Xenopus tropicalis: one gene and its partner. The protein of the gene in region 1 purifies or fractionates together with the protein of each later gene. This does not show direct contact. Links are inferred from orthologs where the notes say so. Each region holds a gene or a part of one and is shown in the gene's direction. Other genes may lie near its edges.

What was found.
Region 2: the proteins of nckipsd (region 1) and gemin2 purify together in Homo sapiens (co-immunoprecipitation; 3 studies listed by BioGRID and IntAct, counting the BioPlex papers as one, with this or other methods). This does not show direct contact. The link is inferred for Xenopus tropicalis from reciprocal best matches to the Homo sapiens genes NCKIPSD and GEMIN2.

What each region holds. Positions count from the first base shown.
Region 1 is NC_030680.2:136,177,665-136,194,646, reverse strand, and holds the start of nckipsd (NCK-interacting protein with SH3 domain), read left to right. Parts: upstream 1-7,543; 5' UTR 7,544-7,632; coding exon 7,633-7,803; intron 7,804-16,982. UniProt on the Homo sapiens protein: Has an important role in stress fiber formation induced by active diaphanous protein homolog 1 (DRF1). Induces microspike formation, in vivo. In vitro, stimulates N-WASP-induced ARP2/3 complex activation in the absence of CDC42.
Region 2 is NC_030684.2:114,042,587-114,058,769, reverse strand, and holds gemin2 (gem-associated protein 2), read left to right. Parts: upstream 1-931; 5' UTR 932-940; coding exon 941-1,062; intron 1,063-3,648; coding exon 3,649-3,733; intron 3,734-4,960; coding exon 4,961-5,050; intron 5,051-6,149; coding exon 6,150-6,209; intron 6,210-6,459; coding exon 6,460-6,576; intron 6,577-6,729; coding exon 6,730-6,774; intron 6,775-7,456; coding exon 7,457-7,525; intron 7,526-8,190; coding exon 8,191-8,301; intron 8,302-9,712; coding exon 9,713-9,771; intron 9,772-11,943; coding exon 11,944-11,989; 3' UTR 11,990-12,757; downstream 12,758-16,183. Other genes in the region: pla2g4f (cytosolic phospholipase A2 zeta), read right to left, coding at 15,083-15,318, 15,453-15,639. UniProt on the Homo sapiens protein: The SMN complex catalyzes the assembly of small nuclear ribonucleoproteins (snRNPs), the building blocks of the spliceosome, and thereby plays an important role in the splicing of cellular pre-mRNAs.

The sequences.
Region 1 (16,982 bases):
AGAGATGGTGCCTATAGTAGCAGTGGGAGGATAATAGCCTCTGGGAAGGGACTGGGGCTGTGGGATAGCAGGTATAGTAGGGAGAGATGGTGCCTATAGTAGCAGTGGGGGGATAATAGCCTCTGGGAAGGGACTGTGGTTTGGGATAGCAGGTATAGTAGGGAGAGATGGTGCCTATAGTAGCAGTGGGGGGATAATAGCCTCTGGGAAGGCACTGGGGCTGTGGGATAGCAGGTATAGTAGGGAGAGATGGTGCCTATAGTAGCAGTGGGGGGGATAATAGCCTCTGGGAAGGGACTGTGGCTGTGGGATAGCAGGTATAGTAGGGAGAGATGGTGCCTATAGTAGCAGTGGGGGGGGGATAATAGCCTCTGGGAAGGGACTGTGGCTGTGGGATTGCAGGTATAGTAGGGAGAGATGGTGCCTATAGTAGTAGTGTAATAATAGCCTCTGGCCCCGTGACTGCTACAGACAACACTATTTATTTCCTATAAGTATGTACTGTGCCTGACTGACTGTCACCCGACTGCAGTCATTTATGTATGGCCTTGTCAACACTGCCTGTGGCAGGCATGGAGTATAATTAACATACTAATCCATCTGCACATAGCTGGTGTGACAATCTCAGTATTTAAATGGGAGATTATGTAATTATAGCCATCTATAAATATCTTTATTGCTATAATTATTGAACAATGAGTACAGTTAATGCTCCTGGCAGGAGATGAATTGACTACACCTCAGGCACCAATAATAGGTCCAATGTAAAGTGATGTTGAAAGTTCTAAGCCCTTGTCTTTAAGGCTACTGAGACACAGGGCCACGGGCCGTTCCCCCCCAGGCATGGGCCCTCGGGTGTGTATGCAGGAAGTGCAGCCCTGGGTGCACCCAGTATGTAATGAACGCTCAGTAACCTAAGTATAACCAGTCTACCCAGTAGTCCCTTTGCATGGCACGCGAGTCACGCACGGGGAGGTCTGTGTGCACATAATATCACTATTTCTTTGTGGCTGTGAGACCTGAGACAGGCAGAACCTTCCTCTGGCCTAATTACATGTAAACAGATCCGTTTTTCTTAGAGAGAAGGTTCCTTAATGGGAATCTGTTTCTCTAGAACAATCCAGCCACGCTGTGGGTCAGTGGGGTCACATTACTGACTCATGTTGGATATCTAGTGACATTTCTTGGTATTTTTTGCAGCGGTGATGGTTTTTCTTTTGAAAATAATTCATCTTCAGTGGTGTGACCCTCTCTGGACTCTACAATAACAGGAGGTGGATGTGCCAGAGGGCCTGAGGAGGAGATAGGCCTCAGTAGAGGAGTCACGAAATCAAGGACTAAGGTAACTGATCCTTACAAGTGATGGTAGGGAGCCGGGACCCCATGGGAAATGATTTGACCACCCTACTGCACGTTAAATAATAAACAGCAGTCATTATGGTGTATAGGGTTTCCACCTGTCTGGGTTTGACCCAGACAGCCCAGTTTTCAGTAGGGTTGCCTGGATCAAAACTACCTGCCCGTTTTCCCCAAATAGGAAAACCCACGCAGGATTCTCTAGGACTGACGCTGTGATTGCCAATTATTGCGTCATAGCCCCGCTCCTGTGATGTCATACCCCGCCTCCCTGCCCGGAGTTCCCGGGCAAGTGAGGTGGCAAACCTAATGATGTAGTATCTGCAGAGGTGGGTGCAATCCTGGGCACTAGGGGGGCACTTACTATACACCTGCCCTATCAAGTGGCTTTCAACATTCAGAAAACCAGGCAGAAACCCTCTGAATTGCATGACATCCTTACGAGCCAGAAACGTCATCATGTGATGATGATGTTTCCGTGATGTCATCACACATCATCACTGACTCTGGGTTTATATAACCTGACAAAGGTGCCAACCCTAAGGTAGCTTGCTAGGAGGGTTGCCACTTTTCTAAAGAGTTTTTAATGGGGGGCGGGTACGGAAGGGGTTGGGGCAATGATGTAAGATAGGCAGAACAATAATGTAAAATGGGCGGAGCTATGACATTGTGGTGGATGGAGCGTAATGGAGAAGTGTTTCAGGGGAGAATCGGGGGGAAGGCCAGGGAGCTGATATTAAGAGTATTGCAAACTCACCAGCTACTATGTTGCCTATTAATTTGTAATACCAGCCCCTGCCATGGCAGGTGTTTTACTGTCTAGGCTAGTAAAATACTGGCAAGGTGGCAACCCTACTTGCTAGTCCGTGTCGCTTCAGCCTTCCCCATAAATATGGAGCGACCTGTCAGATATGTGCGTCAGTGTTACACAAAGGAGGCGAAGCAGGGCCTGGATTCCACAGACAGTTTGGCTCCCAGTTTGTATCCTGTCAGGATGATGGGTATTGTATTTATATTGGGAAACAACTGGCATAAGGGCTTGTTTGTAAAAAAAAAAGTTCTTTTTTAAAGGATGAGCCTGGAACTCAGAGCCATAAACTACAGCACTGTCATCACCCTCTGCAGCACAGCATAGCTCTGTGTGAGGGATTGGGATGTGGCGTCAGGTGCAGAGTGTGTGCCGGGGGCACTGGGGGCCTTATTGTGGGTAGAAGTGGGCTATTTCCTTATTAGGGGAAGCTGATAGCTGTGCCAACATGGGGCGACTGGGATCTAACATCGCAGGGATGCAGAGGGGTAACAATAGATGCGGCAGACAGTGTGGCTTATAGGTGGCTTAGTGGGACCCTCTCTGGTGTCGGTTTTCTAAAGGCCAAACAACTCACCATAAAGATCATGGGGGGGGGCAGGAATATAGAGGGCACAGTCAGGGCAGAGAGGGAATATAGAGGGCACAGTCAGGGCAGAGAGGGAATATAGAGGGCACAGTCAGGGCAGAGAGGGAATATAGAGGGCACAGTCAGGGCAGAGAGGGAATATAGAGGGCACAGTCAGGGTAGAGAGGGAATATAGAGGGCAGATAGTTGGCAGAAAGAGGGAAGATAGAGGGAAAATAGTGGGAACATAGTGGACAGATAGTAGGAAGATGGCCAGATAGTTGGTAGATAGTGGGCAGATAGAAGGAAGATAGTGGGAACATAGTGGACAGATAGTGGGCAGATAGTGGCCAGACAGAGGACAGATCTTGAGCAGATAAAGGGCAGATAGTGGTTACTGGGTTTTTCATGTGTGATGCTTAAATCAGGAGAGTAAGAAAAAGAGAGTTCACTGGATACAGATATCTGAGACTTTCTAGACCTTTTAGATCCAGGGCATTTAAAAGATCTAGAAGGCCTCATATATCTGTACCCAACGCTCTCAGATACCTAAGAGCCCCGAATATGTAAGGCCTAGAAGGTCTAGAGTATCTGACATTGCAGATAAATGTATCAGTATCCATATAATAATCATTCTTTTGATATCATTAATCATAATGACTGCTCCTAATTATCTCCGTGTCACTAGACAGAAGGTCTTGGTCCACTGGTGGGGCAGAACTTTCCTTGCTCCCAAGGGGTTAACCTTCCTCTCTCCTTATTCCTTTACTTGCCTGGGCCTCAGAGCTTGGGCAGAGCTTGGAGAAGGACACACAGAGGTTCTTAGGAGACGATGGCACTGATAAGAAGAACCTATGCCGTCCCCTCGGAGACAGAAACAATTCGCACTTTGTGTCTTGCCAGGAAAAATTCCACCATTCAAGGACACGGAGATGACGGCTATGTTCCCCCTTTTGTCCTGTGTGCCAGGCTTAGTGAGAGATGGCTTCTGGGGATGGGTCCCTGGGGCCAGGGCAGCTGCCAATAAACTCATGGGGGAGAAATTAGCAAATGAGCTTAAAGATCAAAACTGCGGCATGAGATGTTTAACCCTTTAAAGGAACCCATCCTGTTGGTACCAAGCCCAGAATAACATTCCTAATGAAGCGCTCTCGGTGCAGCAGCGAGGGGAGCGGGATGTAAATAGGTTTAGGAATCTGGCTAAATACATGTCCATCAGTGTGGCCCATGGAGCAAGGGGATTCCTGGGAGGCTGCGGGATCACAGGCTGGAGATAATGTGAGGAAACCTAATATGTCGGGAGGATTACACATAGGGCACATGGTGCACATAGATACGGGTCCCTAAGGGTAGCGCCTTCCTAGTTTATCCACTGCCTGACCTGTAGAAACATGACTGCCGGGTAGTTGTTTAGTTGGTGTTGGACTGGGGCGCCAGGGGCACATCAGAAATGTACTATATGTACTATATACTCATTTGGCATGAAGGGCCACCAAGGACCACAGCCCAAATAAGGGGCGTGGCTAGGGTTGCCTTTGCCAGGTTTTAAACCCAGACAAAGACATCACGTGATGATGTTTTCTGGCCTTGTGATGATGCCAGGGAATGGGGTTATTGCATCTGCCGGACGCAATCTGGAGGGTTTCTGCCTTGAAAAACCAGGCTGTTTGGGTCAAAACTGGACAGGTGGCAACCCTAGCCACAGCCCAAATACTTCTGTCTAAGACTAAACTGCATCTATAAGCAAAATGTCTTGCCTTCAGCAGCCTCCGCCATTACGGTCACATGACAGTAAGGATTCAGTTTGCTGAGGATTCAATTCATTTCAAATATTGTGGAATTGTTTGGAGAATTTGGCGCATGGTGCTATGGAGAAGCTCTGCACAGGGTCAGACTGGGCCGCCGGGACGCTGGGAAAAATCCCTAGTGGGCCCCAGCCCTAGTGGGCCCCAGCAGCCCAGACCCGACCCTTGCCGGCGCTCCCCCTGCCCGACCGTTCCTCCCCTGAAGCATTAAACATACGTGCACTCAGGGGAGGACATTGGGTGGGGGACCCTGCGGGGGGGGGGGTTAGGGGACGCCACCGGCGGGGGCACCTGCAGGGCCCCTGGGGCGGGAGCCCCGGTGGGCGCTGCACCCCCCAGTCTCTGCATATTTATGGTGAGGGGGCAGTAATGTAGGGACCTGTAATACAGAATATTGAAACTAATTGCGGAGTGGTTGCAAGGGCACTTGTGGTTTCTCTCACTATGTTTGTAAATGAGCCCTTATAAGCATAATGGGATAAATATAATAAATATACGTATATACAAGAGTTTATGTCTCACTTGATCATCTGACAAGAGATTCTAGAATACTAAACACTGTAGAAATCCATTGCCTCTGTACTTTTAACTGAGAAATGAATAAAGCGCCAATGTATTACAAATTCTTTCAAGGGGGTAGAGGAGAAATGTATCCGTCTAAAGCTGCTCAGACACAAGCTCTAAGGGACCCTCTCTTAAAACTGCAACTTGGAAAAGAGTAATGTTTTGTGTTATAATCACAATACTGTGTCTGAACCATCATTTCTGTAGATATATCGCCATCTAGTGGCCAATCACTGGAAGTACCACCTAAGGCTATATATGCCCAGTCCTAACTATATTCTGGGCAAAAGACTGTCCCTATTGCTTTAGCCCCTAGTACATTTATACAGGCCCTGGCAGTGTCCTACAGCTATTCCCACTAGGTTAAATAAAGATTTATTATTAAAAGTAGGCATATTGTGTGACAACAAGAATGTGCCAGTGCATTATACTTCTCTAAATATAGAAGGAATGTGCTTAAAAAAGTTGGGTTCCCCCCAAACCCTACTAGTCCCGCCCATCTGTGCCACTTCCTGCTCCCTTCTTTCCCAGGCTGCACAGGGAAGCAGGGGGCACGCAGCACTGTAAGATAGGAACCAATCAGCAACTAGCCCGACCTGATAGGGAACTGAAATATGTCATGATTGTGTGACTGCAGGGCTGTGATTGGCTATCCCTCCACTGTGCTTCTGGTAGGGACCATCATTTGGAACAAGGAGTGTGACAGGGGGTATGTGTGGGAACAGGGTCACACTGGGCCTGAGGGACAGCGGAAAAGAACGCGATGGGCCCTGTGCCTTATGGGCCATGCAGCCCGGACCTGATCCCACTGCCCACCCCCTACACACATGGGGGGAAGGGGCTGGCAGTCAGCAGGTGGGTGAGCAGGCGGTCGGGTCCCTGAGGGGGTGTGGGGGGCCCTATAGTAGCAGTCCCAATGGGCCTCACACCCCACAGTTTTTAACACAAAGTAAAACCAGCACCATATATTATTCATAACTGCCTACAAGATTAGATATCTATTCATCTATCCTATGTCTCATTTAAACACCCAAGCTGCCATTTCATTAACTATTTTGCTTTGCTGTTTGGCCTCTAGGGGGCGCTGCTTCATTACATGGAGCCATAGCTACACTTTGGCAGGATGGGTGCAAATCAACCAGCGGCCCTACGGCTACTGACCAAGAAAAATAATGTGAATGTCTAGCATATTTCCCCTTTATATAAACAACTCAATGTAAAAGTGCGCAGCCCGCTCTTCTTTGTACATTGCATTAAGCTTTTCATATAGATGGGGTAATGGCAGATTCTGTTAGTGCCTATAAGAGGGGCCTGGATGAGTTCTTGATCAATCAGAATATCCAAGGCTATTGTGATACTAATATCTACAGTTAGTATTAATGTTTGTATATATATAGTTTATGTATGTGAGTGTATAGATTGGTTAGTATAGGGTGTGGGTGCTGGGTTTACTCGGATGGGTTGAACTTGATGGACAATGGTCTTTTTTCAACCCTATGTAACTATGTAACTATATATATTACATTGTGGGGTTTTTTTTTGCACTAATATCTATAAATAAAGCAAGTTGCTTGCACCTTCAGCCCTGCGCTTATATGAGGCTTTAAAACAAAAAGTGCAGCCAGCTTCTGCCGAAACCCGGGATCGAACCAGGGACCTTTAGATCTTCAGTCTAACGCTCTCCCAACTGAGCTATTTCGGCTGCCGTGTCGGTACCGGGCACCGGTGTCTGTTATGACGTAACTAAATGTATCCGGTAACGCTATTCTGATTGGTAGAGAATATGTAAGCGGTTTGTGTGGGAGTCGGTGTTAGTGAGCGCAGCGCCGCGGCGGAAGGATACGGAAAGCCTGTGTGTGAGAAATCCAATAGGGAGCCTAATGTAACAGGGCTGCACCGTCTCTGTGGCGCAATCGGTTAGCGCGTTCGGCTGTTAACCGAAAGGTTGGTGGTTCGAGCCCACCCAGGGACGCGGTGTTTTTCAGTCACATACGGATCTTTATCTCAGTCATTCTGAATATCCATTTTTTTGACGATCATGTGACTGTTTTACTGGTAACCTTTGCGCTCCCTATACTGGTTTACAACACTTATTGTTGGGCGGATGAAACAATTCTGTTGAATTCATTCATTGTAAAGAATTTCAGCACATTCGGATATTTTCGGGAATTATTTACTAAAACCCGGTGTGTAAGGCAGCGGAATGGACTCGGGGTGGCGCTCTCTGCACGCTAACAAGCCGGTGTGTGCTATGGCGGTGCATGGATATCGCTGCTTCCCTCAGACAACAGTGTGTATGTATTCAGTGTCAGACGAACAATAAAGTTTGGTGAAAAAAAGAAGCGCCGGTCGCGCTTGTAGGTCACATGACCTGAGCAGGGGCGGGGCTGCTCCTGGGCTTTCCCCGCACAGTGCGCGGCCCCGACTGGAGATCACGTGACCGGCCTTGGCACGAGTACGCGCTTTAGTTGCGATTGGCCCGGTCCGGTGAGACAGTTCCGCTGCTGAGACTTGGAAGCAATAGGAACGCAATGTACCGAGCCCTGTACGCTTTCCGCTCCCCGGAGCCCAACTCGCTGCTGTTCGGAGCCGGAGAGAGCTTCCTGATCCTGGAGAGGTCCAATCAGCACTGGTGGCTGGCGAGTCGCTGCAGCAGCGGGGAGACGGGGTATGTGCCGGCTTCTTATTTGGAGAGGATCCAGGTAAGGCAGTGAATGCAGAACTACATCTCCCAGCATCCAACACTAGGGCCTGTACCCCAGAACCCCAACACTAGAGCCTGTACCCCAAAACCCTAACACTAGAGCCTGTACCCCAGAACCCCAACACTAGAGCCTGTACCCCGGAACCCCAACACTAGAGCCTGTACCCCAGAACCCCAACACTAGAGCCTGTACCCCAGAACCCCAACACTAGCGCCTGTACCCCAGAACCCCAACACTAGAGCCTGTACCCCAGAACCCCAACACTAGAGCCTGTACCCCGGAACCCCAACACTAGAGCCTGTACCCCGGAACCCCAACACTAGCGCCTGTACCCCAGAACCCCAACACTAGAGCCTGTAACCCAGAACCCCAACTCTAGAGCCTGTACCCCAGAACCCCAACACTAGAGCCTGTACCCCGGAACCCCAACACTAGAGCCTGTACCCCGGAACCCCAACACTAGCGCCTGTACCCCAGAACCCCAACACTAGAGCCTGTACCCCAGAACCCCAACACTAGAGCCTGTACCCCGGAACCCCAACACTAGCGCCTGTACCCCAGAACCCCAACACTAGAGCCTGTACCCCAGAACCCCAACACTAGAGCCTGTACCCCGGAACCCCAACACTAGCGCCTGTACCCCAGAACCCCAACACTAGAGCCTGTAACCCAGAACCCCAACTCTAGAGCCTGACCCCAACACTAGAGCCTGTAACCCAGAACCCCAACATGTCCCGCCCACTGTGTCCGCAGCCTATTGGTTTAGAGCAGCCCCACACTGCTGCAGAACATCTTGGGGAGCAGAGCTGTCAGCCTGTATCTGTTAGTGCCTGTATATAGCGCTGTGTAACCATCATGCCAGTCTCACTCCCTGCCAGGGCTCTGCTCCTCTATGGCAGCTTCAAACCTCTGCAGAGCAGCTTGGGGCCTGGCAGTGCCTGTGCGGGTCGGTGCCTGTGCGGGTCGGTGCCTGTGGGGGTCGGTGCCTGTGGGGGTCGGGTCGGTGCCTGTGGGGTCGGGTCGGTGCCTGTGGGGTCGGGTCGGTGCCTGTGGGGTCGGGTCGGTGCCTGTGGGGTCGGGTCGGTGCCTGTGGGGTCGGGTCGGTGCCTGTGGGGTCGGGTCGGTGCCTGTGCGGGTCGGTGCCTGTGGGGTCGGGTCGGTGCCTGTGGGGTCGGGTCGGTGCCTGTGGGGTCGGGTCGGTGCCTGTGCGGGTCGGTGCCTGTGCGGGTCGGTGCCTGTGGGGTCGGGTCGGTGCCGGGTCGGTGCCTGTGGGGTCGGGTCGGTGCCTGTGGGGTCGGGTCGGTGCCTGTGGGGTCGGGTCGGTGCCTGTGCGGGTCGGTGCCTGTGCGGGTCGGTGCCTGTATGGGTCGGTGCCTGTTTGGCTCAGTGCCATGGCTGAGAGTTGCAGAGCTGTCAGGGATTAAAGCCCCACTGTTTTCCATGGGGTAAGCTGCACTCCGCTCCCTTAGGGAGTGTAAATGGTCAGAGGGCACATTGCAGCCTTTAGTAACAAAAAATACCCTGTAATTATGCCCAAAGCTGTAGCCTTGGCATAAAGGCACTGGCAGCCTTAGGGTTTAACCAGATAGGAAAGCAAACAAATAGAGCTTTCATTATTGCCCCCCAGTTATCACTCACTGTGTTGCCCCCGTCATATGCTACCCAATGGTACATTCCCATTATGTTTACTCACTGGTCACACACAATACCAGAATCAATACATGGAATGCCCAACTGCCCCCTCCAACTGTCAGTTTAGACATAAATAATGTACCAAATTCACCAGATAATTAATATATATATGTCTATGCTGTGAGGGCTATTAGCCTGCATTGGGTACTTACTGGGCCATGAAGAGGATGAATGGCTGAGCCCAGGGCTGTTGGTGTGAGTAGGATAATACAGAGAGAAGTAGTGGGGAAAGTAAATGCACAGTCTGGCCGCTCCTATTAGCAGCCCCCAATCTGATGCGCTGTCACTGTCACTCCTCAAGGGACATTATTGGCACAATGGAGTCTTGCGTGAAAGTAGAGAAAGCCATATAAAATCTGTGCTTGGGTGAAGTGTTCCCTGTGCAACACTGATTCCTTCCTTCCTCACAAAGTAGTCTTTCCACAGTGTATAAGGATATCTTCAACTGGATCTTTATGACTCTTGTGTGTTATATAGTGAATAATGTCCCCCCCATTATAGTATAAGGATATTAGAAGTCAGTGAGGGATTCTGTAACCATATAATGGCTGCTGCTGGTACCATAGTTTGAGAAGCACAGGCTTAGTAAGTATTGGGCATATATATGGGCAGGCTGGTAGGTGAGCGTGGCGGTGCTACAGCACGGTGGTATCTTGTGGCTTCACAGCAATTGGTTCCCAATTAGGAGTAGTTGGTCTCATACTGAATTGGTCTTCAGTTTTTATTTATTAATTGTTTTTGACTTCCTCTTCTGATCATTTCCAGCTTTCAAATGGGGGTCACTGACCCCCAGCAGCCAAAAACCTATTGCTCTGTGAGGCTGCAATGTTATTGTTACTTTATATTACTTATCTTTCTATTCAGGCCCTCTCCTATTCATATACTAGTCTCTTATTCAAACCACTGCCCAGTTGCTAGGGTAATTTGGACCCTAGCAACCAGATAGCTGCTGAAATTGCAAACTGCAAAGTTAAATCATTCAAAACCACAAATAATAAAAAATAAAGACCAAATGCAGCATGCTACATCATACTAAGAGTTAATTTAAAGATGAACTACCGCTTTAATATAACAGCGCCCCTAACACCTGTTTCCTGATGGAAACTACATGCGTGACAACAGGAAACATGCTATTCATTTTTTAAGAATTTGATTTTTAGTACAGGGATGTAGCAAAAGAGGCACAACCCAACCAGTCACATGTCATAGATTGTTGCCTTCTAAACAACGGGTGGCCCATACAGTGAATATATATGGTATCTGTTTATTTAATATCATAGGTGTCTATAAAAAATATGGGGTGCAGACGGCAGGAATCAATTCCGTGTTTTATATCTGGGAACTGAAAGTGGTGGGAATTTGTTCTAGGGTTAAAAGGGAAATGATACTCAAATGGAAAGTGCCACTGGGAATGGGGGCCTTTTATCATCTTTCACTTTTAAATGTTCCGGAAAAAGCTTGTATTCATTATGAAAATCCCCTGCTGAAGCCTTGCTTGTCAGATCTTACATCTGATCTGGATCTGATGTTATACATATGATGTAAAGTGAGCCTGCAGAGTCTCAGGAGTCGGCTTAAAGGGGAACTCCACCCAAACACAAATTATGCTTTTTGAAAAGTAAACATGATTTCAAGCAGCTTTGCAATATACATCAATTAATATATATGCAGCCTTTTCATGATTTTTAATGGTTAGGACAGATTGTAAGTTCTTTTGGGCAGGGCTCTCTTCACCTCTTGTATCGGTTATTGATTGCTTTATATGTTACTCTGTATGTCCAATGTATGTAACCCACTTATTGTACAGCGCTGCGGGATATGTTGGTGCTTTATAAATAAATGTTAATAATAACAGTTCCCTAAGCCCCGCCCCCTGTTCCCCTGCTGATCTGGCTGGCTACTTTGAGACTCAAATAAAATGTAACAGTAGTCGCCTGTCCCCAGCCTTCAGCCTGCATCCTCCCAATCCCACAATTCCCTGCACACGTGATGTCAATAAGGAAAGGAACATCCCAGTGCAATGCATTGTGGGTTATGTAGTTCCTGCATGCTGTCGAAGCTGGAACATGTATAGGGCCTGAATAGAAAAAAGGAATTTAGCACTCTGCAAAGCTCTTTGCTTCCATACGTACCATAATTTGACCAACACGGCACATTGGCAGATTACATTTTCAAGGCTGCCCAATGGACAAACCAACTAAGATACTGGTACATAGATATGGGCAGGGACAGACCCGCTTGAGATCGCTAAGCAAGCAAGGGGTAATGGTGTGTCCTGCGTGCCGCACATCAGTGCCAATTAGTTGTTAGATCAGCTCATTTGCAAAATGAAATATCAGTTGCTCAGTGCAACAGCAAGTAATTACCGGCCTCATAAGCCCCGGATTAGATATTTATTAAGTGTGTTTCTACAGTAAAGTCCACTGGCGCTGATTAAACATGAAACTGAATATAAAGCCCCTTTGTACTGGGGGTGAGCGAGTGCCCACTGGGTTATTCCAAGCAGCGCCCAAGAGCAACACTAAGGAAACAGAAGAGCAATTGTCCCTTAGGCAACAGTGATTCCGTGCAGCCAAATCTTTCTATTCCCTTTCTATCAGATATACAGTTTTATGTTCTGATATGTTATCATATGATATGTTCTGATACAAACCTAAACTAGAGCATCCGGCTGCTGTACCAGTGCTTGTACAGCCGCTCTATACAGGCCCTCCATGCTGGCCCACATTCTCTCACAGCCATTGCTTGTATTACCACTGGGCTGGCCTCCTGTCAGTGATTCTGATGTAGCTATGTATACAGGTATGGGACCTGTAATCCAAAACGCTCAGGACCTTGGGTTTTCTGGATAAGGGGTCTTTCTGTAATTTGGACCTCCTTAGCTTAGGTCTACTAAAAATCATTTTGGATAGTATTGTTTTGCCTTCAGTAAACTTTAGTTATATATTAGTTGGGATCAAGTACCAGGCACCTTGGGTTTTCTAGATAAGGGGTTTTTCTGTAATTTGGACCTCCTTTGCTTAAGTCTACTAAAAATCAGATAACAGATCCCATACTGTACGTACGTACTGTAAGTACACAGTGCCAGCAGTATAGTGCCTAGTATTCATATGCCAGAGTAGCTAGACAACCATGTGAATTCACACACAGATATCAACTTGGCCACCCTGTTACGCCGCTCTGGTGTGACTGAGGGGAAAGGGGCCACATCCATGTGACCTTTGGGACAGTTGACATGTCTGTTCACCTATGGCAGGGGTGGGCAAACTACGGCCCGTTGGTCTTTTTAATCCGGACCTCCGACACGGCCCCCTTAAAGTGGACCTGTCACCCAGACATAAAAAGCTGTATAATAAAAGCCCTTTTCAAATTAAACATGTAACCCAAAGTCATTTTTTTATTAACACATCTATACCCATTATATAAGCATTCAAAAGTCCCAGCTGTCAATCATATATTGTGTGCCCCGCCTCTATGCCTTAGGCATAGGGGTGGGGCAGTCAGTTACTTTCACTTTCAATTTAGGACTTCTTAGATGTCACTGCCCTCCTCTCATTCCCCCTCCCTCCTCATCATCTAATTGTATAGCCAGTGCATGGATTTGGGTATCAGGTCCCCCCATACCATAATTGTGTAGCCAGTGCATAGATTTGGGTATCAGGTCCCCCCCGTAAGTGAATGTGGCCCCTGAACCAAAAAGTTTGCCCACCCCTGACCTAGGGGCACCAGGCAGGGTGTAGATGTTGATGGGTAGAAAAAAAAAAAGGCCAGGAATGATGACTTTCTGGAAAAAACAGAGTGGAAAATATGTTTATTGTTGCCCTAAATGTGGCTGCCCCGAGTGGGGCATTCCCTGGGGGGATCTTATCTTCACCCCCTTAGTGCCAAGCACAGACTGCATTATTCTCCAGTCATAATAAGCACGCAGTGTAGGTATATCGGGAATATGAAATGAAAATGTGATGCCACCAAATAATGGATAGATAAAGGGTTTCTGCTTCTGATTTACATAGCGGTGTTGCCTGCGTAATTTAAAACAGTTCTTGTAATTACTATGTTACGGGCCGGGCGCCTCTCTGAATAAGGTGTAGGCTATGCATTCCCACGACTAGTCTTTAGCCAACTGTCAGATTGGCTCCTCTCCAGATAATCTATTATAATTAAATTTGTCATAAGAGAGGCCATTCAGCCTGCAAAGACCCGGAACTATAAGTGAACGACCCTTGCTTCCTACAATAGCATACCTCCCAACATTTGAAAAATGAAAAGAGGGACAAAAAGATTTGGTGCGCGCAGCGCGGCAATTTTGACCACGCCCACTTTTGTGGCCACGCCCCAATTACCACACCCCATCTTTTTTTTTTTTTTTTTTTTTCAAAAAATTCTCCTTTTATATAGTAGAAATGGCAGGATCAGACGCAAATGTGCTATACCCTCATACTGTATAGTATGAGAGTATAGGGTAACAATATAGCAACTCCTACATATAAAATACAAATATAGAGAGAAGGCAGTGAGTTATTAGTGAGTTATAACTATCTACCGGTTTGCCCCCCCATACACAGTGCCCCCAATAGCCTAAAAGACAGTACTACTCATACACAGTGCCCCCATACACAATGCCCCCCATAGAAAGTGCCCCCCATACACAGTGCCCCCAACTGAGACAGTCCCCCCATACACAGTGCCCCCAATAGAGACAGTGCCCCCAATAGAGACAGTGCCCCCAATAGAGACAGTGCCCCCAATAGAGACAGTGCCCCCAATAGAGACAGTGCCCCCAATAGAGACAGTGCCCCCAATAGAGACAGCCCCCCCATACACAGCGCCCCCAATAGAGACAGCCCCCCCTCCATACACAGCGCCCCCCAATAGAGACAGTCCCCCCCATACACAGTGCCCCCAATAGAGACTGCCCCCCATACACAGTGCCCCCAATAGAGACAGCTCCCCCCATACACAGTGCCCCCAATAGAGACAGCCCCCCCATACACAGTGCCCCCAATAGAGACAGTCCCCCCCATACACAGTGCCCCCAATAGAGACAGCCCCCCCATACACAGTGCCCCCAATAGAGACATTCCTCCCCCCCCCATACACAGCGCTCCCTTCGTCTTCTTCGTCCCCAGCGGCTCCTCAGTGTATGCGGCTCCTTCTCCGGCGGTCCCAGGCCCTTTTATAAGGTTGCGCCCGTGCGTAATGACGTCACCCGTGCGTAAGGGCGCAACCTTATAAAAGGGCCTGGGACCGCCGGAGAAGGAGCCGCATACACTGAGGAGCCGCTGGGGAAGAAGGAGCGCCAACGCATCGCGCTGTCCCGAGTAAGTCAATGAATGTTCCGCATTTCCGTAATTTATTACGGAAATGCGGGACATTCATGGAACTATCCGGGACAGTGGGACGCGCTCTAAAAACCGGGACTGTCCCGCGGAAAGCGGGACAGTTGGGAGGTATGCAATAGCCCCTCTCAGATTGCCTGCTATGGCAATTATCTTGAAACCATTTTGCAATGCTGGGCAGGCCATTGTCACTTATAGGTGTGACGGCAGCATTTCCCACTGTGGCCCAACAAGTGATTGCGTGGCTGATTTCTGTAGAATTCAGTGGGGTTCCTTGTGAGCAAATTTAGTGCTTCATGTTTGGGCCAATTAAAAAATACATAAATAATGTGCTATTGTTATTATGCTAGGAATTCTAGATATACACTTGGGACAAAATTTGAAAAGCTGAATTATAGTTTTTCAAATTTCTTGTGATTTTGAGATTCTATAAAAGTCATGGGGGCGTATATGAAGCATTTGTGCAAGTTGATGTTTGAGGTCTTGGGTTTCTATTGAGATTATACATCCTCGTTGAAAATGAATGGAACAATGTGATTACCGTTTGCCTGTTAAACATAGTAGAATTTTAACCTTTTTTTTTAAAAAAAAAAATATGCTAGCAATGGAAGAAAAAAAGTGATTAAAATGTTGAATGCAAATAAGCCTCTCGCTATCAAGCCACAGGTTAAAGCAGAATCAATTACCCTTTATATAAAAGGCTTGCTAACATTTACTGCGCTATTGAGTCGTAAAAGTTATGCTAAATCTGAACCTGTAATGTGGTGGGAAATACCCCAACCCGTACAATGCAAAAATGAAATAGAAAATATGGTAAGCTTCCATGACTTCTTCTCTGTGCAATTCATTTGCCCTACTTCTGTTACCTGCTGAAACACTATAAACCCACCCAGTTAGCTCAATTCCCTGCCCATTTATAGTCCCCATCCACCTCCCCCCCACCAGCCTGCTCATTTCCCCTCCCCTTATGTCATAACCCCACCCCCAAATGACATCATGTTCGGCCCTCCAACCCGTAGGCTGATATTAGTCACAGAAAAAGGTGGAAACCCTATTGGTGACACAAGGACAGCAGAGAAGTACTTTATAATTTGTGAAATAGGACATTGTAATATATATAGTTTTTTCATTACAATTTCAATCAATTGTCAAATTTTTGCCGACTCAGGTATCCAAAATTGTTTTTGACTCCACAGCTATGGGTAAAAATTCACAAATTCAAATTTTGATAGAATAAGCCACTCTGTGTCCTATAATATACACTAATGGGCTTATCAATTTTAGAGTGTTTTTTGAGAGTGTTTTTCTAACTTAAATAAACTGGCATTTTAAATAAAATTCAAATGCTGGCTTATTTATTAATATCAAATAAAAAAACTCGAATAACTCAAATTTGCAAGATTATAAACTCGAAAAACGTGAATTAAAAATATGGCTTGGCTTTGCCTAGGGCAACTCCCATTGACTTCTACATAAACTCGCAAGCTTTTAGATGCTGAAGTTTTATATTAAATTAAATTGGGCTTTTTTGTACCTTATAAATATCAGACATTTGAGTTTTTGAATCGTCAAAAGAATCCAAATTCAAACTTTAATCATAATCACCCCCTCACACTATTGGGAATTTTATCAGGAGCCAGTTAACCTGCTGGTGTGATTTTGGCCTATGGGGGGAAACTCTGGTACCTCAGAGGAAACACACAAGCATTCCTTCTACATATTTCCTTATACAGGTATAGGACCCGTTATCCAGAATGCTCGGGACCAAGGGCATTCTGGATAAGAGGTCTTTCTGTAATTTGGATCTCCATACCTTAAGTCTGCTAAAAAAAAATCAATAAAACATTAATTAAACCCAAAAGGATTGTTTTGCATCCAAAAAGGATTTTTTATATCTTAGTTGGGATCAATTACAAGGTACTGTTTTATTATTACAGAGAAAAGGGAATCATTTAACCATTAAATAAACCCAATAGGGCTGTTCTGCCCCCAATAAGGGGTAATTATATCTTAGTTGGGATCAAGTACAGGTACTGTTTTATTATTACAGAGAAAAGGGAATCATTTAACCATTAAATAAACCCAATAGGGCTGTTCTGCCCCAATAAGGAGTAATTATATCTTAGTTGGGATCAAGTACAGGTA
Region 2 (16,183 bases), on another chromosome or scaffold:
GAAGGGAGGTTCCATTTAAATATTCGGAAAGGATTTTTTACAGTGAGAGCTGTGAAGTTGTGGAATTCCCTCCCCGAATCAGTCGTACTGGCTGATACATTATATAGCTTTAAGAAGGGGCTGGATGGATTCTTAGCAAGTGAGGGAATACAGGGTTATGGGAGATAGCTCTTAGTACAAGTTGATCCAGGGGCTGGTCCGATTGCCATCTTGGAGTCAGGAAGGAATTTTTTCCCCTCTGAGGCAAATTAGAGAGGTTTCAGATGGGGTTTTTTGCCTTCCTCTGGATCAACTTGTAGTTAGGCAGGTTAGGTATAGGCATTATGGTTGAACTTGATGGACGTATGTCTTTTTTCAACCCAACTTACTATGAAAAGGCCTTGAGTAGGCAAATCAGACTCCCAGTTGTAAATGTAATTGTTGTGGGGGGAAAGTAAGATGTCCCTTCATGGGCCCAGGAAACCATAAAATAGGTGGGACTCAAGCCTTCTTCTGACAAAGCTCAGGACTGAGGGTGGACAAAAGGCAACCATGTTGTCATCTTACAAACGCTGCCTAAATACAGCTCTTTTATTTATCTCTTGAGACAAAAAGGATTTGTCCCAAAAAATCACCACCATGCCCACTAATACACTCTATAACATATATAAAAATAAAACCGCTGAGATATTGTATATTGTTATCACAAATAAGATTTAATTGTATCTGCCAGCTATACTTGCAACTATATGAATGAACGAGTTGCACCACCTGCTGCTGCACAATAATAAACCTCATATTTCATTGACCTGACATATTTATGGCAGCGGCTCTTGGAAAACACGTGACTACTCTCATCATTGAGGCGGCGGTAAGAGGAGGGGCCAATCAGAAACGCTGTTACAGAATGCGTTCCATTCATAAAGTGCTGTGAGCCTGGATCCGTCAGAGCCGGACAAGCATGGATTCTGGGCCCGAAGAGCTGATGCCCAGGCTGCTGCCGGTTGGCAACTGTGACCTCCCAGAGGATTTTGATCCAGCGGTGCCCCCTCGGACCCCTCAGGAGTACTTGCGGAGAGTGCAGTAAGCTGCCATTACGTTCTTTGCAGAGGGAATTGGGTTTGGGTAGATCTAAAGCTGCTGCCTGGGGCACCGAACTGCCGTATGTTGAGCTCTTCCTGTTGCTGCTCTTAAAGCCGGAGGGCTGCAGGGGTAGCAATTCAGTAGTACCTGTAGCATTTTGCACTCACACATTGGGGCAGGCAGCTGGGGGAATGATGTTTACATATATAGTGCCGCATATACATGCAATTTTGTCTGTGTACCGAACTTGGTTTGGCAGACATAGTGTGCCCTTCTGTAATAGACCTTATCGTCAGATTTTTCTAAAGTGCCAACATATTGTGCAAAAAGGTTGTATTCATACAGATACATACATATTACATGCAACCCAGATGATTTAAATGGTAATAAATGGGCCATGTCAGAGTCATGTTTGAGATATCTGACCAGCTTAATGTTGGCTTCTTAGTTTGATATTTTTAAAGTGTGGCTGCCTGAATGACTACAGAGACCTATAAATGAAATAGATCATGACTGGCCTGGCTTTGCTTTTGCCCAATACATAGTTACATAGGGTTGAAAAAAGACCAAGTTCAACCCTTCCAAGTAAACCTAGCACACACAAACCTAAACTGACCTATCAATACTCTCACATATAAACTATATATACAAACATTAATACTAACTGTAGATATTAGTATCACAATAGCCTTGGATATTCTGATTGATCAAGAACTCATCCAGGCCCCTCTTATAGGCATTAACAGAATCTGCCATTACCACATCATTAGGAAGGGCATTCCCCAACCTCACTGCCCTCACCGTGAAAAACCCCCTACGCTGCTTCAAATGGAAGCTCCGTTCCTCTAATCTAAAGGGGGGGCCTCTGGTGCAAAATTATGTTTTCATTCCTTGAGACAATGCCTTTTTTATACAAGACAGCACTTTATTTGCTTTAGTAGCCACAGAATGACATTGCCGGGAATTAGACAACTTATAATGTAATTTTAAATGTACAGATAAGGGGGGGGGGGGATATGGGAAGCATCTTAGGGCAGAAAACTGTATGTAGATTGTGGGGTGCCTATTCTGCAGTCTTTTGAACTCCAGCTTTCTGTTTCCTTCAACTTTTTTCTGTCTCAGGGGATGCTGGGAAGTGTAGTTAAATAACTGCGAGCTTTGCCACCTGGGTGCAAGGTGTGCACACATTTTATTTGTGCACATTTTTCAAAAACTATGCATACAAGCACGGTGTGTTTGTGTGTGAGTGAACACGGGAGTACACAGCTTAGATGTAACATTGTTGTAGTGCAAGCCTGTCCAACTGGAGGCCCATAGAGCAGATGCGGCCCTTCAAAGGATTTTTATGGCCCCCAGTCTGCTCAGAAGCTCCCTAGACTTCGTTAGGCTAATGACAGACGAGGCGTAGGGCGGATATTTTCGGAAATCGCTTGCTGAAAATTCCACCCTACGTGTCCTACATGTACCTGCACCCAAATGAATGAGATACGCTCGGGTGCAGGCACATGTAGCCGATATACGCATGAAAACGTGAGACTTTGCATTATCTCGCATTTTCATGCGTATATCGGCTACATGTCACATCCTAATTTTAACTTAATCTGGCCCTCCAACATGCTGTGCCAGATATAATTGGCCCACTACATATAATCAGTTGGAAAGCACTACCTTAGTGTATATACTGAAATAGTTATAACGCATTACAGAAAATAATTTACTTGAACTTTTTTTTTTTTTTTTTTTTATTATAATTCCCAACCCATCCCCTTCCTGCAAGTTTGTGGCCTCGGCCCAATGATTATATTAAATTTCTGTTTATTGCCATATTGCTTGGTAAGGGGCCTGCAGTTGTACCCACAATAATGTAAGTAAGTCACTAGTTAAGAAGGAACATCAAGCACACCGGACAAATGGAGTCTGCTAAAAGACGGTCTTTATTTCTTTATTTTATAATCTAAAAGTGCCTGGTAGTGGTAGGCTGCCTTGAAAATGTTATACAGGTATGGGACCCATTATCCAGAATGTTTGGGACCTGGGGTTTTCTGGATAAGGGGTCTTTCTGTAATTTGGATCTCCTACTTTAAGTCTGCTAATAAAATTATTTAAACAGTAATTAAATCCAATAGGATTGTTTTGGCTCCAATAAGGATTAATTATATCTTAGCTGGGATCAAGTACAAGGTACTGTTTTATTATTAAAGAGAAAAAGGGAATCCTTTTTAAAAATCTGAATTGTTTGATTAAAATGGAGTCTATCGGAGATGGCCTTTCCGTAATTCGGAACTTTTTGGATAATGGGTTTCCAAATAAGGGGTCCAATACCTGTAATACAAAAAGAGTGCAGTTTTGAAACTAGGCAAAAGTGAGGATTAATAGTACACTGTTTGCACTAGAGTATTGATGGGGAACTGGTTCTTTGTGATATAGTTGGCCAATATCTTGCAAGCATGTTAAAAACTAAAACTCTTGTGAGTCTTTGGGGTTGATATATGCTATATCGTAGATAATGAGATATGCCAGGAAAAAAGGGAAGCATGTGTACATTTTGTGTACTTATTTGACCTTATTAAAACTATTGCCTTTCAGGATTGAAGCAGCACGGTGTCCAGATGTTGTCATTGCACAGATTGATCCAAAAAAGTTGCGAAAGAAACAGACCGTTAGCATATCTGTGAGTAACCAGCTGTAAGAATTAAAATCACCCACCCCCCCCCCCATTATTCACCAAAAGTGGGACCACTTCTTTCTTTCCTTCCTTCCTTCCTTCTTTCCTTCCTTCCTTCCTTCCTTCCTTCCTTTTTTTTTTTTTTTCTTCCTCCTTAAGGATGCATATTGTTCAGTACAAAACGACTTTATATTGATATCCAATCTGTAAAAGTTAAAATGCAAATAAAAATCATTGAAAAAGAAAATCGCCCACCCAGTACGTCTGTGCTACATCCCCCTTAGGGATGGGGCACAATGGGTAACTGAATTGCTGTGCTCTTAAAATGTCTTTTTAATGCAAAGTCTTTTAATACAATATGAAATACACTGCTGTGGCACAGCATAGTATTAATATTCCTTCCAACTGTTTTAAAGTTGGCCACTATTCTATTTCTATTAGATTGCCATAGTGACCATTAATTGCATGCCTTCCTCATGGCTTTGAAGTGCTAAATCATTGGTGCCTGTCCTTACAGCTGTACTGCCAGGCAAGTAAAGCAGCCCTGTCTTTAAGTGTGTCGTTTATGAAGTCAGTGTTTGAGACATTGACTAAAATTCCAAGAATCCAGTGGTTCTGAAACCTGGAAGCGTGGGAAGTACAAATGAGATCACCTGCATTGTGTTCCCATCTTTGTACAGCCTCACTGACATGGTGTCGGCTTGTGAGCAGGCCGAAAATTCATGCTTTTTAGTTTTTGGGCTGTAATCCACTCAGTGTAGCTGCACACAAGCTGACTCCATGCCTGCCGTTTAAGATACAAAAAGTAGTGGATCTTTTTTTCTCCCCCTACATACAGAACACAGGCAGAGAAGATTGTATCATCCACATTGTGTGCACTTAGCCTTACAGTGTTCAGATATATTCTCTGTAATTGTTTATTTCAAGCCACTGGTGCTCAAAATGATTCATAATAAGTATTTAGTCTCCACACTTCTGTATAGTCACCTTTGGAATTGCCAGCTACATGCTAATATCACACTAGGTCTATGCCATCAAAAGATGCCAACCAAGAAGTGACATGAATGGCATATGCCTGTTAGGTAGATTCCATTCATGACACTTCCTACACACAAAAAGTGTAATAGGTGTTTTTCTGCTGGCAAAAAATAACACCTCTTCTGACATATTAAAAAAGGGTATATATAAGGCTTCTGTATTACTCAATATGCTATGCGATTGCACTTTTTCCAGCTGTCAGGGTGCCAGCCTGCTCCCGAAGGGTACTCTCCAAGCCTCCGCTGGCAGCAACAACAAGTAGCGCAGTTTTCTGCTGTCCGTCAGGTAATATTCCTGCTCTGATATTCCTACTCTGATAATTACATTTCTTTTCTGAAACAAGTCCTGTAATGGTGCCCAAGGTGTTTTGAACTGTGTGGTTGGTTGAATATTGTTCAAATAAACCAAGGTCAGTGGCCATGGACCACTTCCCCATTACACACAATATGAAACACTGAAATAGCCAAATAGCTCCCACTTGTAAAACTGTTACAGTGTTAACATTCCTCCTTTTCTTACATAGCTCCCACTTGTAAAACTGTTACAGTTTTAACAGTCCTCCTTTTCTTACATTTGCCTTGGGGAATATAGGAACTGTGGGTAAAGCTTGCACCACTAGGAGGCAGGACACTAGGGACTTTGAGTCATAAAAACTAAGGAAGTGATGAACACACACATCCTGCTGGGGAATAATAAACCCAAACCATATCAATGCCCCCTCTCTCTAATATATCAATCACATTATATTTTTCTTAGCACATTTGCCTCTCTTTAGGCTAATGTCTAAATAAGCTGTTTCTCCACCTGTGTTTCTACGCAACTGATGGGAGCAGAACTGCACCCATCAACTCTGTGTGTTAAGCGCATGGACAGGCACTGCATCAGTGTGCCTTGTTTGTGCAGTGTGCACACGGTGGATTTTAGGGCAAAAATGCAAAGCTATTCATTTTTGTAACAGTGGGTGTGCATCTGCTTCCATCAGCTGTTTCTGCGCAAACAGCCTAATGCAACATTAGCCTTAAGCTGGCTATACATGTAGCGATTTTCGATCTCCCGTGCGACCAGTGGTCGCTTCCACCCTCCAGACGTTTACGACTGAATCTGATATGGAGGTAGAAACAGCCCTGAACGTAAATTTTGCATCAAAATCTTTTAACCTGGCGAGGCGACCAATATCCGCAGCCTTTTGTGATATCGGTGGCCTCCTTAAGCCACCATACACGCACCGAAAATTGTACGATACAAGGTTTCGTACAATATCTTCGGTGTGTGTATGGCTAGCTTAAATCTTGCCAAACAAGTGGATCGTTTCCTGATATGCCCTTGAGGTGGGTTATTATTGCATCACATAACTGGATCTTACATAAGATCATTTACCCCACAGAGTCTTCACAAACACAGGAGTCACTGGAGGTCTCAGCCTTTGGACAGCAATGTTACAATGGTGAGTGCAATTATTACACTTGTGTGTGTTTTGGACTGTCGTACAAACTCTCAACTGACTTTAATATACAGAATTAAGGATAATGTGCCAATCTGTGCATTAAGGACATCCTCATGTGTGGCCATCTTGCACTATAGTAGTATTAACAGGGGTGAACTGCGGTTTAGAACTAATGTTTACTGAATGTACCCAGTGGTGTCTTTACAGTGCTGAATTTCAAAGTTAAATATTTTTTTTGTCTGATCTCCAGCCAAGCACAGAGGATGAGGAGAGCTGGAAGAAGTTCTGTTTGGGGGAAAGGCTATATTCTGACCTAGCAGCTGCCCTGAACAGTGACAGCCAGCATCCAGGAATTGATTATATAAAGGTGCGTTGTACAAATGGCTGCTTCTGTTTGGCTATTGCCAATGTATGTACAGATCCTACTTGTATTTTGTTACCCCTAGACATAATGGCCCAGCAAAATGGCACAAGTTTGTTTATATATATTTTTTTTGTTTTGTTCTACGTGTTCTTTCAGGTTGGTTTCCCACCCTTGCTGAGCATTGTTAGTCGGATGAGCCAGGTAAGACCTTCTTTGTTTTTGTTTTGTTTCATTTGCAACATTTATCCTTTAGTTTGATTCTTTTCAAAATATGGAATTCTCTGCATAAATTACAAATCTTTGTTTGCTGTGTTAGATGCAGTCAAAACTTTCTAGTGGATCCTGAATGGTTAACAAGGCACAAATGCTTTTCTAGTTGCACATTCAGAAGCTGCTCTATTTATTAAGAGAATTATTTAATTTATTCTCACAGTCCTAAAGAAAGAGGGAGATGATAGCAGAGTGGAAAACACTGGCTATAAAGAGAATTTTGAATATAAGAAGAACATGTTAATATAGGATAAAGAAAGCCCAATGGTTACTGTAAAGCTGACCTCCTAAACAAAGATGAGGTTATTTAACTTAATTACTGAAATGCTCGAAGATGGGGCCAAATACGATGAAGTTGTTTGAACCCACTGATTAGACCTCTTGGGGGCCCCAGGCAGTAAGATAAACAAATGTCCTCCTGTAAGGAAACGATGACCTGTGCCAGTCAGGATTAGGCAATAAATGGACATCGGTCTTGCCAACCATTTACTTTTGGCCAAAACAATTACAGGTACAAGTTCAGTCCTGCTATGTTTTACTCTGTTTATGTTGACATAACTGTATAGAATCTATTCATCTGTGTTTTTTATTCTGTAATTATTTTGTCTTTAAGGCGACCGTAACAAGTGTGCTAGAATACTTAGTGAACTGGTTTGAAGAAAGGAACTTTACTCCAGAGCTGGTAAAACATATATATAGATATATATCTTAATTTACAATGTGTTGTCTTTATATTATTATTATTATTATTATTAACATTTATTTATAAAGCGCCAACATATTCCGCAGCGCTGTACAATAAGTGGGTTTCATACATTGTACATACAGAGTAACATATAAAGCAATCCATAACCAATACAAGAGGTGAAGAGGGCCCTGCCCAAAAGAGCTTACAATCTAGAACCGTAGCTTATTATTGGTAGATCCCTGAATCAAAAAGAATATTCCAACAGTTGCAGACCTAAACAATTTTGTTTAACTTCTATGTGCCTACTGAGTACTGATCAGCACATAGTCACATACTTGTGACTATACTGGGTGCAGGCCCAGACTGCTAATCTGTGGCAAATACCAGAAGGGCAGCAGTAAGAGGCCATAGTCACTATTTAGTGGGCCTGTGGGGGGTGTTTGGGCCTTTCTGTGTACTTGAAATGCCAGGGCCTGTTTTGAATCTCAGTGCAGTGCAATACATGGCAAAAAAACAGTTGTAATTATAGTCTTCATCTTTCATTGAACCATTCCTCACTGTATACTTACTGTGCAAGCTCTACTCTACAGCACAATATTTGTTGCACACAACTTTTTCTGCCCAAGTAGTAATGCAGATATACTGCGGATGTCTTCTAGGGTCGTTGGCTTTACGCACTACTGGCCTGCCTGGAGAAACCATTGCTGCCTGAAGCTCACTCTCTTATTAGGCAGTTGGCACGGAGATGCTCACAAGTCAGAGCTGGGGTGGTAAGAACCTTTTTTTTTTTTTTTTTGCCATTTAAACAATATGTATAAATGTGGTCTACTTAAAAATTGGATCATTTTTCAATATATCTACCTGGAACGTTAGTGCTTCATATTGTCTTCTCTCAGCCTAAACCAGGGGACCCCAAGCCCCTGGATATGAAAGCTCCTGTTTGTTGGAATCTTGTTAGAAAAAAGAGTGGAGAAATTTTAGGACCCAAACTTTATTGTTTATGCCCCTTCATTAGCATTTCCCTGATCTGATTGGCTAACGCGATTTCAGCCCGTCAGATCAATGACCAGCAAACAGGCTGCACTGTTGAGTAGCCCATGCGCCCCACTGCACTGTGACTACGTCAGAATACTAAGCGATGTGGCCCTCCGGCTGTTAGAGAAAGAGACCAGAAGATTTATGCAGCACTACCTATCCCAGTAGACCCATTTAAAATGCTCTATTTTGTTTACTGAACCATATTACAATGTGTACATAGCCAAATCTATAGAAGCTGTTAAAAAGCTGAACATTAAATGATTCTGATTGTTACTTTAGTATTCCTCGGAGGTTTACTAACTTCATTAATCATTTTGACTAATTTCTGTTTTTTCCCCAAATCATAATGACACATTGACTATTAATGGGATGGATAACTTCTTACTTAGGTTTTAGTATGTTATAGAATGTACTATTCCTAGCAACTTTGCAGTAGTTCTTCATTATATTTTTTTTTATATATGTTTTGAATTACTTGTCTTTTTCTGCCTCTTTCCAGCTTTCAAATGAGGCTCACTGACCCCAACCAAAAAAGCTCTGTGTTGCTACAATTTTACTGTTATTTTTACTTTGTATTACTCAACTTCCGATTCTCATTGGCACATTCCAATCTGTTTAATCCACTGCCTGGTTGCTATGGCAAATAAGACCCTTGCAACTAGATAGCTGCTGAAATTCCAAGCTGGAGAGCCGCTGAACAGAAAGCAGAGTAACTTAAAAAATAACCCACAAAAAAATAAATGAGGACCAGTTGCAATCTGTCTTAGATCAATGTCTACATCATACTTAAAGGTAATTTAAAAGGTGCACAGCCCCTTTAAACCTTCTTTATTGGTATTACCAGTCCCCAAAATTTAGGTTTTGGCTGCACTTTTCAGGATTCATTCACATATCCTGAACTGGCAACTGGTGTGTGGGGTTCACTTGGGAAAACAGGCAGCTGGGATTCACCTGTTCAGAAACAACCAATTTAAACCTTTTCAGGCCAGAAGGTTGATTACAGTATGTGATTTAGTGTATGGAGCAATGTGGGAATTTCCAGAAAGCTTTCTATGATTTGCCAGGCAGTGATTTGTATGTGTGATGGGACAGCTGCTCCTTTCAGCCGATAATATGAATAACTGTGAATGTTCTTTATCCTAGGAACATAAGGAAGATGAACGGGTGTCTGCGCTGAACCTATTCATCTGTCTGGTTGGCAGGTAATGAGCCTCGCAAGGTGGAAATATTGGCTGCAATGTACTGAACTAGAAGTGAAGACTCTGAATGAAGAGTTCTAAGAACTTAAATGTTTAGAGGGTATGGGATCCCTTTCTGGAAAATCATTATCCAGAAAGCTACAGGAATGCTATCTCCGTTAGAATCTGTCTCATCTCCTTGTGGACATAGGAACACTAGGGGTTGTCCCTACCAGCCTTCTCGGAACCGGGCTGCATTCTCAGGCTTCCCCCTCTGTGGGATATTTCCAGCACCAGGATCATTTCTCACTCCTGAAGAGCAGGCCATCTAGCCGTACTCTGCACCTAATCTTCATAGTACTAACTGGGGGTGCCCCCAGCACTAGCAACTATTACTCAGGCAGTACCCCTGGGTTGCATATTACGCAGTTCTATAGGCCTCTATTCCTGGCTGTAACGGGTGGTTATTCGAGTTTACCACACTTTGGATACACGACAGTTTCACTTTTCCTCCATAGTGGGCACCAACTGTGCACTCAGGGGTACTATTGGCTGCCCACACTTGCGGGGAGGTACTGTCCCTTCCCTGCTCGACGCTCCTAATCTTCCTTTGGGACCCCATCTTGGAGATCACTGTCCTTAGTTCCCTCTGTGCATACCAGCGAATAATAGTGACAACTTATTTCCCGGGGGCATGGACTCCATTAAGTAGACAGACTCTCATTGTGCATCATGCCAGGCCACAGATGTTCCTGCAGCTTTTGTACCAGGCACTGCTGCTTCTGCTGAGACTGCCGCCTCCTGTCTACCTGAGGGTGGACATACCCCTAGCCCCTATTCCCTCTGGCTCTGGGATAATCACATCGGGTGCAGGAACTGGCCCGCTTCGCCCCTCAAATCAAGAAGGCCAGTTCTTACATTTGTGAGGCAGCACTAGACGCAGCTCAGATTTCCATAGAGCATTATCCTTGGTGTTAACAACACATTCATTCCATGATTTGTCCACACCAATGATTTCAAATTCCCTTCAATTGGGCCTGACCTCGGGCCTGAATTCTCTCAATGCCCAGATATTGCCCCTTTTGGTGCTATTACAAAAAACAACTGCTGTTGCTGCTGGATGTGAATGCTTTCGCCAGGGAGCACCCCACTTGGGGCCTACCTTCAGAAGTCCCTGACCTCCTTGGGATCTTAACTTTGCTGAGGGCACTACAAGAACTCTTATTTGAGCCCTTAGCTTCAGTTTCCCTGGTTAGTCTCACATGGACGACTGTTTTTTTTGTGGCCATATCATCTGCGCACCAGGTGTCAGAACTCTATTCTCTATCCTGTGAATCCCTCTTTCTCATTTTCCATCTTGACAAAGCAGTTCTGCACACTGTCTCCCCCCCTTCCTAACCAAGGTGGAATCACAGTTCCACATTAACCAGGAAATCACAATTCCTTCATTTTGTCTCAAACCTGGAGAGGAATTAGGTCACTCTTCATTCCCTGGATGCAGTCGGTGCTCTCAAATATTATGTCAGCAGAACCTGCAACTGTAATAGTAAATGTTAAATATTATGTTCAAATTTTGGCTAAAACAGATTGTGCCAACACTTTCCCTAAAATGAAGGCAACCAACTTGTGCTGTGAGTCGCTGACACGTTTCACTTGCTCTTACGGTCTGATTCCAGAATATTTGCAGTGCACAACTGGCAAATAGCATGGGGTTTTTTTTTGTTTTTTTGTACTGGGATAAACAGGTTAAAGAACAAGTCAACCCAGAATATAATTTTTTGCCTAATAAAAGGACACAACATTCTAAGCAACTTTGCAATCTACATTCATTGCAAATTTCTAATGGTTTTTGAGTTATTTGTATATATGATTGCTAATAAAATCACTGTTTGCCTGCCCTTTCCTATTCCCTGCCCTGGTGGCTGTGGCATATGAAACAGTGTAACACAAGGCAGCAGACTGACAGACCTGACTTGCTGGAGGAGACTGACCTTTGCAACGTTGTTTAAAAAGTAACAACCAGGAGTTCAGCAAATGCTACTTTCAATAGCAATTACATTTACAAATAACTTTTAAAGCACTAAACATTTTTAATAAATTCATATTGGAAAGTTGCAAACAGAGCATAGATCACTGATGAATCCTGCCATCATATTGCTAATTATTAATGCAGACTTCTTTCTTTCTCTTGCTTAGGTACTTTGAACAACGGGATTTGGCTGATTGTGGTGACCCATCTTGATATGATTGGGCAGCTTTACCAACCCCCCCTACCCTCCATTCTCACAGAACATCTCTGCAATATCCATGCTATCCACTTCCCTTCCATTCCAGTGGTGCACCAACTACATAGTCTTTGGATTCAGGACACTGTGTGGTTTACACCTCTTCAGTGCCAACGGCCTGGAATATGAAGGTGCAAGGACAGGCATGGGTAATCCTCTAGCCTTTTAGATGTGGAGCCGAACAAGTTGCAGTTGAACAACAGCTAGAGCGCTTCACTTTGCCCATCCCTGAGTTTGGCACTGACCAGTTGCACGTTGACCTCTTGCCTGCCATTGGCAGTTTAGTGTAATGTTTTCTCTTCCTGGAGCCTGAAGGAGCAGCAGTCTCATTTATCGTTTGTTTCTGTTTTTCTGTCCTTGTCATATATTGGCCAAAGTTGGAAAGATATTAAGTGCCTCGGTGGGTTTGTGGAAACCATTTTCCATTCATTTAACCTCACCCTGCAGTTAACCCCTTCTCTGCCAGCTGTTCATCAACAAGCTGGGATGGAGCAGTTAAACCAGTCTGTAGCATGGGAAAACTGTGAAACTGTACAATTTAGATTATTTATTTGCCTTTAATTTTGACTGTTTTCCCCCAGTTTGCCTGTTATCATCTGTGTCTGAGCTGCCTCTGTAATATGGCCTACTCATAAAGCCGGGGCTGTGAAGTGGATTCAAATACTGTACCCCTTTCCTTTGTTAGGTCTTGATTTTAAATAAAGAGAACCAAGTGCTTCCTAAAACATCTGCCTTCTTTTTAATTGGCTGGCCGGGTTGAGTTATTTTTTTAATATGGAAGACTTTCCAAATCTGTCTTACAGAGGCCGCCCAAGCACAGAGTATGCATTGACTTCTTTTAGCAGATGTGTAACATTTTCTTGCATTTCTGTACATAAATTCTTTTTTTTTTTAGATTGTGTTCTGACCTTTTTTCTTTGCAAAAGGTTTCCAAACAAAATAGAAACTGTGTCCACTTGTGCTGCATTTACTCTATTCAGTCACTCAAGCATGGTGCAAGTAGCAAATCAACTGAAAAAGGCTACAGCGGGAGGGATTTACAAAACTGGCAGCAGCAATATATGGCATCTAATTAGAATGTTGGTGATTGAGTTTCGATGGGTTATGAAGCCAGAGTAAAACATTGATTTCAGTTTAGGGTCAGTAAATGCATGGGACTGTGCAGGGCTGGAACTATGGTTAGGCAGTGTTGGGCACCAATACTACTAGGCCCAGCTCAGGGACTTTTAAATCCCATGTTTTTGTTTACGGTTGCAACCTCATCCCTTCAATACCAGCCACATATTGAATCCACATCATGCATGTTTAGTTGGCAATTGATTTAGGTGCATGCTGCAGACCAATCTGATTAATATGCAGCCACGCAGCATGCATCTAAATTAATTGCTAACAAGCCGTACAGGATGTGTATTAAGGGAAAGTGCTAAATAACTTATAGAATAGCCTTATGCACACCCAGGAAATATAACACACCATGATATGCTCCGCTTTAACACACTTAATTTGTACTGTTAACATTTGTGGTATGCAATTGTTTGTAGTGTTAAGTATAATAAAGGGTTTTTTTTTTTTTCTTGCTTTTGCATATACCATGGTGTGTATTGTGCTATTCTAGAAGTTGTATTTTGTTCCATTTTGGTCATAATTGACTTAAGGAAAATGGCATGTACCTTTGCACCCATACTATATATACAGTATGTTTCTAGTGCATGTATGGGATCTCTTATCCAGAATGCTTGGGACATGGGGTTTTCCAGATAAGGGATATTCCCATAATTGGGGTCTTCATGCCTCTACTAAAAATATATTTAAACATTAAATAAACCCAATAGGGTTGTATTGCCTTCAATCAGGATTAATTATATCTTATTTGGGGCCAAGTACAAGGTACTGTTTTATTATTACAGAGAAAAGGTATCATTTCTAAAAAAAAAAAAAAAAAGAATTATTTGCTTATAATGGGAGATGTCTTTCCCATAATTCAGAACTTCCTGGATAATGGATTTGGAAGTACAAGTAACATGTAAAACTACAAACCCAGGGACTGTAAAAATGAGTGGAAATAGGAAATCTTGAAGTGCATTAAAAAAAATGGCAAGCAGCAATAAAATACACACATGGCTACCATTTCCTAACCATTCAACGCCTGCAAAATTTAATAAAGTAATGAGCTACAATCTCAGCAGCTGCCCGATGGTGTTTCATTAGTGGTTTTATCAAAAGGCAAAAAAAAAAAAAAAATTCCTTCCCGCAGGTGTAAGGGGAGGTGTGTGTATCCAGGGTATAGAATAAACAGCTTCTATGAAATAGGACAAATAGTTTATTTGTAGGTGCTGGATGAACAGATACCAAACCTATTCTCACTTAATGGAGGTCCTGGTCCTCTAAGTCTTGGCAAAATAAAGCATTCTTGGCATAAAGTAGCTGATTTAGTGGATTCTCAACTTGTAGCTGGCCTTGCTGATTCTGCCTTATGAAGGCAGGTTTGACACCCTTTCAGTAATATGTCTGGCCGGAAATCTCCTTGCAGGTAGATGAGAATGTTGGCATTGTCAGATCTCTCATTTAGGACACTGGCCAAACACAGTGAACAATGCTAAAGTTATTCATGTGGACGGGCAAATCTCACATCTATAGGCAACCCAGCTGGCCACCTCAGCCCCACCATTGTTGCTGCCGCTACACGGATGTTTGTCTGTGTGCATTCTTTCAGGCACATTCATTTGCACACTGTGTAAGAACAAGCGTAGTTACAAGGGCACGGATTAGGGGAAGGTAACAGCAGAGGTATGTGGCTAGCCCTAGGTTCTACTCTGAGCCGGATACCTAGCAGATCTCTGCACAGCCACCAAGAGAGACAAGTCTGCATTCACGGAACATTCTGTACAGTCACTTTCTACAATACACCACCATCCAGGCAAACTATAGCTCAGCCTAACGAAATGATTTGTGCATTTGAGGACAAACAATAACACAGCCCTGATGCACACCCACCTGAGCAGCCAGTGCTATTTAATACATAATATACTTCCATAGGTTTAGACTTCCCATCACATGTGTTTTTTAGATGGCAGCTTGGTTGATTTGTCCTTCCTACGTGCCACTGCTGCCTTTAGCGCTGCTGCAATCTGCTCCCTACTGTTTAGTACATTGTACCGATTCACTGCTACCAAACGGTCAAAGTGCTGTGGCTCATATGTAAAGTTCTTTGTTCGGAATGGCGATTCCTTTCCAGTTAAGTCTACTTCTCCATTTAATTTCTCCTCTTCCGTCTTCCGCTCAACTCCTGCAAAAGGAATTAGGGAGGCTAGTGAAATATCTTTTTATACAAGTACTGGTGCGGGGTCTGAGGTTAGCCATTATAATTACTTGGTGTTTGACAAATCAGCTCCCACCACCCCAGTTGTGCAACATACATACCTGGTTCTATGAATGTGCGGAACGTGTTATTGACCATGGGGAAGTGAAGCACTATGGGAGCTCTAGGGTTATTATGGTCCATGAACACATAGCATTCCTTTGGCTGCTTCTCATCCTCATTAGTTAAGGTGATTTCAGGGAAAGGGATGCCTCTCTCTCTGCAGTAGGTGGAGGTCAAGTGCAGCACCTAAAAGAAATAAAATTGTCAGACATGCACTGAGCCCCAGTCCCATTTTACTCTCTATGTATACGCTGATCACAACCTGCACTGCCCTAAAATGCAGAGGTTGGGATCTGTACACAACCTGGAATTTGCAAATGGGAACTTGGATGGGACTCTTTTCTAGGATTTCTTTTGCTTTGCTACTTTCACTTAAACTCGATTATGCCCATTGGCACTTACAAAAACTGCTGTAAGAACCCTTAACTGTGCCATGTGTTTGTGAACAAGGACAGCTATGTAGTTGTAGTACTCATGGTTGGACTTGGAGAAAACCCAGTGGGCAATCTGTGGATTCTGGAAAATGCCAGAGGGGCTGCTGTAAGATGCCATAGGCACTCACTATTTATTGGGCTGGTGGGGGGCTGTTTAGGCACTGAAGAGGGGGTATGCATCTGGGGGAGGGGAATAGTGACAACAACTGCAAGGATTTTTTGCAGTGAAGGTGGTAGGCCCTCAAGTTGGTGGCCCTTGGCAGGCCCTGGACACCCCAGTCCCACATAAATGGTAC